Linked DNA regions of Kluyveromyces lactis. The protein of the gene in region 3 interacts with the protein of the main gene of each other region in a biochemical or structural test. Links are inferred from orthologs where the notes say so. Each region holds a gene or a part of one and is shown on either strand. Other genes may lie near its edges.

Region 1 (2,877 bases), on a different chromosome or scaffold from region 3:
ATCAAATGAGGTCCCTGAATTTCTTCTTGACAGGTCTGTGTCAATACTTCTGCCTGCAGAACTTACTCCATGTTGTTGGTTCGAAACGCCACTTGTCGCATTCCCACCGCTTAAATTTGAACCATTGCTGGCTTCGTTACCTGAATGTAACAGGGAGCTGCCCTTAGACCCAGAGTGTTTCATATGAGGAGCATTTGCGGATGTCAAAGTAGACGCCGCAGACATGGTTGAAGAACCATGTATGAATGTGCTCATCTTTCTCCGCAAAGCGTTAGTGGGAACTTGCTGTTGCAGAGACTGTTGATGAAAGGGTGACTGCTGTTCACCATCTGAAGCCGACACTCTGCCACCTTGGCTTATTTGATTATCTGAATCTGGAGGCCCTCCTTGGCTTGCCAGAGATGATTTCCTGCTGGTAAGTTTCTTGAAGAAATTAGTTGCACGTGACGGTTTGGTAGTTCCTTTATGTCCATGTGAAGTAGCTGTTGATACTGACAGCGTACTGGAAGTGCGCGAAAGTAGCGGCAGGTTACCTCTTGATGAAGTTGCGGTCAGGTTTGCAGTCCGGGACCTTTCAAAAGTGGGTTTCACCGGTTTTGCCAAAGGTGGTTGAGGATTGTGCGCGAATGATCCAGCATCACGAACTATAGCAGAATGGAAACCCTTTTTCCCAGGTTTCACCTTCTTCGTAATTGCATCTATGGAATAGTCCTCTTTAAAAGTGGGCATACCAACGTCTTGCCATTCGCTATCGGTATCGCTTCGTGGTTGTAACTCCCTACCGCTATTTTTACTTGAGATACTGTTATTTGAAGAAGCACTGCCAGCACTGTTTCTTGCTCCCGAGGAGATGGAGCTTCGATTAGTTTCTTTCGGTTGTGGATTCATAGTTGACCTCTTCTTTCTCTCGCACTGTGGTTTGTCTTGAGTGGTTGAATTTACAAATGAATACAAGTACCCATAAACCAGCACTTAAGAATCCAAACAGGACAGATTATTATAAGGAAAATGATTATTATCCAACTTCTGACAAAGATTATGCCAAAATGAAGTGAGACTATAATCGATTGTGTTTTTGTCAACAGAAATTAAAATTACAAATTGCTGTTGAAGATATATTATTGTCTTTAATTACAAATAGTGTCAAATCAAAGTCTGATAAAAACCAGTGATTAACTAAGAACGCAAAATGATCAACGTACTTGGTTTTTTCAACACCAGCGTAAACACGATAACACAATTGAATCGTTGTAACACTATATTTCAATGAGCACTTGGGTTATGACAATACCAGAGTGAAGTAGGGTTTTACTATGCACCTGAATTTCCAATCTAGTGCATCAGTATGTCCGTATCAAACATTATATTTTGCACATTTTGTTATTTCACATTTTTTTCAGCTCTCCATCAATTCAGTGAGAAATTTTCGTTTCCAACGTGCAAAGTCTCCCCTTAACAAAAAGGGAAGCTTTGACATCATCATACGTGGAACGGTAATGCTGCAATGTGAGGGATCCAGCTGCTAGCTTTAATGAGACCTCATGTTCAAACTGAACCTACTGTCCGCTTTTCATTTTACTGCCCTAAGTTAAGGATGAAGAGTATAAGAGAGGTGATAGGAGATATAAAATTACCACGTGACTGATATTGCAAACTCAGCAATCAGTTGAAATTGAAAGCTGATCTGGTGGTTTTGATATTCTATACAATGTACCAACTTCTTATTTATCTCTAGGAGAACTCTATCGAGCCTGTAATTCAACTTCCAGCAGCTCTCCATATGGACTCTTCGTTCGAACATTTTTACCATATATGGCGGATTAGATAATCAATCGGACAAGTCACATGAGCATTATCCGGGTAATGAAATCAGACACTGAATGTTAAAAGTTCAAAAAGGTAACTACTGAGAAGCTTCTCACAGGATTTAGTAATACAACTAACATGTCGATGGTTTGTAAAGAATTGTAGGTAAGTTATTGAAACCAGCCCTTTAATCTGTCACCATTTAACCTGATACCTTTCAGTTCAATATCCAGACACATCCCAACAGCAAAACTCTATAGAAACAATGCCACAAGAGACCAACACTGCTCCAGTTAAGACAGAGACAGAGGCTACTAAGCCAAAGCCATGCTGTGTTTGCAAGCCAGAAAAGGAAGCTAGAGACGAATGTCTTCTATTTAATGGCCAAGAATCCGGTAAGTGCGATGAGTTGATCGCTAAGTATAAGACCTGTATGAAGGGATATGGCTTTGAAGTTTGAATCTAATGCGACAATGGCAGCTGACCCATTATGACGAAACTTTGCGAAGAGAAGAATATTTATACATATATCAATGTTTGGAAGGTTTGGAAGGTTTTCGACTACCCCATCCTCATTCCTGTAAATACTGCGATAACCAGAAATTCCAAATTCCAACTTTAGTATACCTACAACTATACAAAAATCATTTATGCAATTAAAAGCATAGTCTTAGAAGCTAGGTTCTGTTAATAATTGTGTCTTTTTAATAGTATCATTGAAACAAAAGAAAAAGAAGAAGAGCACGTGATTATTCATTTTTTTTCACCTGCGTTGTCTCTCGAATGCTCATCTCCATCTTCAGAAAAGTTTACAATGAGCGCATGCATGCATTAATTTAAATAAAACTGTCTGTAAATTAGTCCTTTCAAATCTGATCTGGTGAACCAAAACTCTTCTAGTTCCTCTTTACAACGTTATTCGTTTTATGAAAACGTTCGTCAGGAAGTTTAACGTTATCCCGAAATTCTACAGCTTTAAAATGACGAATTCTACGCAGTTACCTCAGACTTTTGATGGGACTATTGATCTAGGAATCATTGGCGGTACTGGTTTGTACACTTTGGATTGTT
Region 2 (2,338 bases), on a different chromosome or scaffold from region 3:
GTACTCGGTACATAAATATATGTGATTCTGGGTAGAAGATCGGTCTGCATTGGATGGTGGTAACGCATTTTTTTACACACATTACTTGCCTCGAGCATCAAATGGTGGTTATTCGTGGATCTATATCACGTGATTTGCTTAAGAATTGTCGTTCATGGTGACACTTTTAGCTTTGACATGATTAAGCTCATCTCAATTGATGTTATCTAAAGTCATTTCAACTATCTAAGATGTGGTTGTGATTGGGCCATTTTGTGAAAGCCAGTACGCCAGCGTCAATACACTCCCGTCAATTAGTTGCACCATGTCCACAAAATCATATACCAGTAGAGCTGAGACTCATGCAAGTCCGGTTGCATCGAAACTTTTACGTTTAATGGATGAAAAGAAGACCAATTTGTGTGCTTCTCTTGACGTTCGTTCGACTGATGAGCTATTGAAACTTGTTGAAACGTTGGGTCCATACATTTGCCTTTTGAAAACACACGTTGATATCTTGGATGATTTCAGTTATGAGGGTACTGTCGTTCCATTGAAAGCATTGGCAGAGAAATACAAGTTCTTGATATTTGAGGACAGAAAATTCGCCGATATCGGTAACACAGTCAAATTACAATATACATCGGGCGTTTACCGTATCGCAGAATGGTCTGATATCACCAACGCCCACGGGGTTACTGGTGCTGGTATTGTTGCTGGCTTGAAACAAGGTGCGCAAGAGGTCACCAAAGAACCAAGGGGATTATTGATGCTTGCTGAATTGTCTTCCAAGGGTTCTCTAGCACACGGTGAATATACTAAGGGTACCGTTGATATTGCAAAGAGTGATAAAGATTTCGTTATTGGGTTCATTGCTCAGAACGATATGGGAGGAAGAGAAGAAGGGTTTGATTGGCTAATCATGACCCCAGGTGTAGGTTTAGACGACAAAGGCGATGCATTGGGTCAGCAGTACAGAACCGTCGACGAAGTTGTAAGTGGTGGATCAGATATCATCATTGTTGGCAGAGGACTTTTCGCCAAGGGTAGAGATCCTAAGGTTGAAGGTGAAAGATACAGAAATGCTGGATGGGAAGCGTACCAAAAGAGAATCAGCGCTCCCCATTAATTATACAGGAAACTTAATAGAACAAATCACATATTTAATCTAATAGCCACCTGCATTGGCACGGTGCAACACTACTTCAACTTCATCTTACAAAAAGATCACGTGATCTGTTGTATTGAACTGAAAATTTTTTGTTTGCTTCTCTCTCTCTCTTTCATTATGTGAGATTTAAAAACCAGAAACTACATCATCGAAAAAGAGTTTTAAACCATTACAACCATTGCGATAAGCCCTCTCAAACTTCCTCCAGACTGTTTGTCATCCAATTGGTAAGATTAATTATCATATACCCCGGATAAGAAAAGAAGCAAGCACACAATGGATCAACTTAATGGTAAGGAACAACAAGAGTTCCAAAAAATCGTGGAACAAAAGCAAATGAAGGATTTCATGCGTCTATACTCCAACTTGGTCGAAAGATGTTTCAGCGACTGTGTCAACGACTTCACATCCGCTAAGCTTACTTCTAAGGAACAAAACTGTATAATGAGATGTTCAGAAAAGTTCTTGAAACACAGTGAACGTGTGGGTCAACGTTTCCAAGAGCAAAATGCTGCCATGAATCAAACCATGGGTCGTTAAAAGGTTTAAAGAAGAAATTCTCCCTACCAACCTCAAATTTTATTCTGTACATACTTCATTATATTATAACATTATATTATAACATTATATCATAACATTTTATCGTAGCTACTACGATTACCATAGATTTTAAGGACTATCTCTCCCATGTATATTCATTCTGTTTCTGTATATAGAAAGGTTTGCATTTCATTGCCATATGACTGGCCAAAAAAAGATGCTCCTCAGACACAAGGTAATCGGTATTGTGTTATCTGCGTAAGTTGCAGACTCCCTGCATTGCACTCAACTAGGCATTGTCGTAAATGACAAGCTAAACTGTCCGTCCGTTGTCCCTCCCATGTCACGTGGTCTCCATTAGAGAAGAACTGGCGACTTGATTTATTATAACAACGACAATAGGGCTCAAGCTGAAGTTCCATTAGAAACAACCTTCTCACGAAGCGAAAATCCCGTTAGGGATTTGCTTGATTATAACTCACCGGGGGTTTGAACCCTCGGCGAGCGGACAGCTGCGTTCCACCGAATTTCCCACCTGGAATGAGGAGAACAACTCCTCTGATCAAGTAGAACATTCAAATCACATGACCTCTTCTCAAAACACTTCAAAGTAACGAGCATCCACCTTATACTTAAGAGTGAATATTC
Region 3 (3,034 bases):
ATTGATCCGCTGCCCGTACTCAGCCAGATGATGATAGATAAATCAGACCCTAGTGGACAGGAAGGAACGAAAGGCTGATCAAAGGTGGCGGTCAAAACGCCGGTGAAACCTTACTATTACTTTATTTTGATTACTATTATGCTTAATACTCGTAGCAAGGGCTATATATGATCAGGCTGGCCATGTTTTGGCCTCTATTTCAAATCCGTCTACATAACTATACAGCACGAATTGGTTTTCTTTGCTTGCTTATAGAACATCCTCGATGCAGCAGATAGTGATTCGGACTTGTCTACCAAATTGTCCAATTTCTCACCTCTTTGTAATACGTTTTCAATGGTTTTGTGTAGCGTGATCTTGGTCTCGTCTAATTCTTGCTGTACACGCATTATTGCATCAGCTTGAGATGGGTCCTGATACTTGGCAATATAGATATCCAACTCCTTCAACTTGAGCGAATCGTCACTCTCCGTCACGTCCTTCCACTGGATAGGAGGGTGCGCTACCAAATACTCATCCAATACTTTGTTCAACAACGTATAAGCTGGTCTTACTGGGTACTCCTTATCCGTAATCAAAACACCACAAATTCCTTCAGGCCTTGCGTAAACGTGACCTACATAGTTACCTTCTTCAACACTCTGTCTTTGACCAGCACTTGTCCTGCCAGCAACAGTCTCACTGAAAAAGGACATGAACTGTGCAACACTGTTCCTTTCAAAGAACCCAAATTGTGATAAGTCCTTCACAGAACTTAATTCAAGGGTCTTATCATCGCTGTTTCTTAAAACTCCAATGTAATATATCTTCATCCTTGTATCCTGTATCCTGTTTTCTCCCACTTGTCAAATGAGAAAAAAAGCTACTATTTTGCCCAAACTTAACTATTCTTAGATCCCCTATACGTGTACTATAACACTGTCCTTCTCGTCTCCGTGTTATCTTCAAAATACATCATCATTTCCCATCCTCATATCACAATGCTTCAATATCCATTTTGTTTGATATTCGAATTTTTCTTTTTTTTGCTAACAAAGGCATTTTCAATTTGTCAAAGGAACATTTAAAAGAGAAGCTGATTGATACCCACAACGGGAGGAAAGAAATTTGCTTTTAGTTAGGTTTGGTATTTTTACAGTACACTTAGAAAACGTTTGAAAGTTGCTGACGAGTCAATTGATTATAGGCATATACATATTTTTTTGAAGACAATGTTCCGTGTTTCTTTACAAGCTACTAGACGTGTTGCTTTTAGATCCGCTAGACAAATTAGGTTTTACAGTGCTCATCCACCTTCCGGTGGAGTGAGCCATATGAACAAGCCAGCATTGTTGTTGGCTGGGTTCAGTACTCTTGGTGCCATCTACGTTGCTGATGGGTGTCCTACTTTGATTGAGAGGAAGCCTGCTCCTGCTGAGAAGCCTGCTGAAGAGACTCCTGCAGCGGGCCAATCACAATCTATTTCTGAACCTACGAAGGATGCCGATGAATCTCCGGTGTCTGCTCAGGAGGAAGGTGCTGAGCCAGTTACTACTCCTGAGAACGAGATTACTTATAGCGAGGAGACACACCAGGCCTTAGCAGCCACCTTATCAGGAGATGAGCCAGCTGCCATTGAGCCAGTTGCTGAATCCGTCAATGAACAAGCTACCGAACCAGCTGCCAGTGGAGAAGCCACCAATGAACCTGTTACTGGCATTTCCGAGGATACCAAAGCTCCCTCTTTGAGCTTCGATGACTCAAAAACTGCCAAGGGTGTTGTTTTAGAAGATGAAGCTGACAAAAAGGAGATTCAACAAACAAGCCCAGATGCCGTAAAAACCGCCTCAAAAGACGGTTCAGAAGGTGAATCGGATGTTGTTTTGCATGAAAAATCTCCTGCTGAAGCTGAGACCATAACAGAAGCAGAAGAGCAAGCTGAAATTCGGTCTATCTCCGGTGGCACTGCTGAACAGTCCGCTACTGCGGCTGCTGCGGCTGCAGGTGTTCAAGGTGAAAAAAAAAACGAACAACAAACTGCATACAACCCAGAAACTGGTGAAATCAACTGGGATTGTCCTTGTTTAGGTGGTATGGCATACGGTCCTTGCGGTGAAGAGTTTAAGTCCGCTTTTTCATGTTTTGTCTACTCTGAAGCTGATCCAAAGGGTATCAACTGTGTTGAGAAGTTCTCCACTATGCAAAATTGTTTCAGAAAATACCCAGACTATTATGCTGAACAAATCAAGGATGAAGAAGAAGCTTCTGCAGAAGCTTCAAAAATCGAGGATAAGAGCACTACCCCGGTTTCAACTGCCACCTCTACTGTTGAAGTACAAACTGAAAATGCCGTTTTCGAACCTGTCTTGGAAAAATATGTGGAAGAAAACCCTCAACTAAAGGATACTCCTGAAGCTGCCGCTGTCACGAACACTGACGATGAAAAGAAATAGAATCTTCCCGACCCTGAACTGCTGCCGTTAAAGATACTTTTTTAAATTTGCCAATGAGCATCATGAATTCTGACGTTTGAACAAAGATAATAAAACTAAAGCTAAAGAAATTAAAAAAATTACGTGGTTCCCTTGTTTGTGTTATATCCAATTCAAATAAAAGCCCATGGCTCTCGTAATGAACTGACCTGTTCATCGAACTCGCCTTCTTTGTCCAATAAAAAAAAAATTAACATACATTCTTATTACATTCTACAATTCCATTCGACATAATGGCAATGTGAAAACGAACAAAAATCCAATGAAATGTTCTGATAGCGTGTATAAACACTACATAAAGACATTTTCCTAATGATATGCCATGCTTATTCTGTTTTCAAATTAGATCCAGTAATTGGTAGAGAAAAATTGGCTCAAATCTTGATTCTGTTCTGTTTCTCCTTTGTAACCATAAAATATCTCCCATAAGGACTACATTTACTCTTTTATTGTTATATTTACTCACAGTGAATACCGGAGCTACCTTCTCTTTGCCAAATATATTAATTGAGGCAGTATCATTATCAGTTTTTCTGAAGGATAATCCATGATCATGACAAAAA

What was found.
Region 1: the proteins of MIA40 (region 3) and COX17 form a complex in vitro, tested with the Saccharomyces cerevisiae proteins (2 studies listed by BioGRID). The link is inferred for Kluyveromyces lactis from reciprocal best matches to the Saccharomyces cerevisiae genes MIA40 and COX17.
Region 2: the proteins of MIA40 (region 3) and TIM9 form a complex in vitro, tested with the Saccharomyces cerevisiae proteins (4 studies listed by BioGRID). The link is inferred for Kluyveromyces lactis from reciprocal best matches to the Saccharomyces cerevisiae genes MIA40 and TIM9.

What each region holds. Positions count from the first base shown.
Region 1 is NC_006042.1:1,445,760-1,448,636, reverse strand, and holds COX17 (copper metallochaperone COX17), read left to right. Parts: upstream 1-1,313; coding exon 1,314-1,343; intron 1,344-2,104; coding exon 2,105-2,266; downstream 2,267-2,877. Other genes in the region: CYR1 (adenylate cyclase), read right to left, coding at 1-888; MEU1 (S-methyl-5-thioadenosine phosphorylase), read left to right, coding at 2,733-2,877. UniProt on the Saccharomyces cerevisiae protein: Copper chaperone for cytochrome c oxidase (COX). Binds two copper ions and deliver them to the Cu(A) site of COX.
Region 2 is NC_006041.1:2,034,691-2,037,028, forward strand, and holds TIM9 (protein transporter TIM9), read left to right. Parts: upstream 1-1,426; coding exon 1,427-1,690; downstream 1,691-2,338. Other genes in the region: URA3 (orotidine-5'-phosphate decarboxylase), read left to right, coding at 305-1,108. UniProt on the Saccharomyces cerevisiae protein: Mitochondrial intermembrane chaperone that participates in the import and insertion of multi-pass transmembrane proteins into the mitochondrial inner membrane.
Region 3 is NC_006040.1:228,355-231,388, forward strand, and holds MIA40 (Mia40p), read left to right. Parts: upstream 1-1,211; coding exon 1,212-2,432; downstream 2,433-3,034. Other genes in the region: palmitoyltransferase YKT6, read right to left, coding at 210-812; mRNA splicing protein SPP382, read right to left, coding at 2,809-3,034. UniProt on the Saccharomyces cerevisiae protein: Required for the import and folding of small cysteine-containing proteins (small Tim) in the mitochondrial intermembrane space (IMS). Forms a redox cycle with ERV1 that involves a disulfide relay system.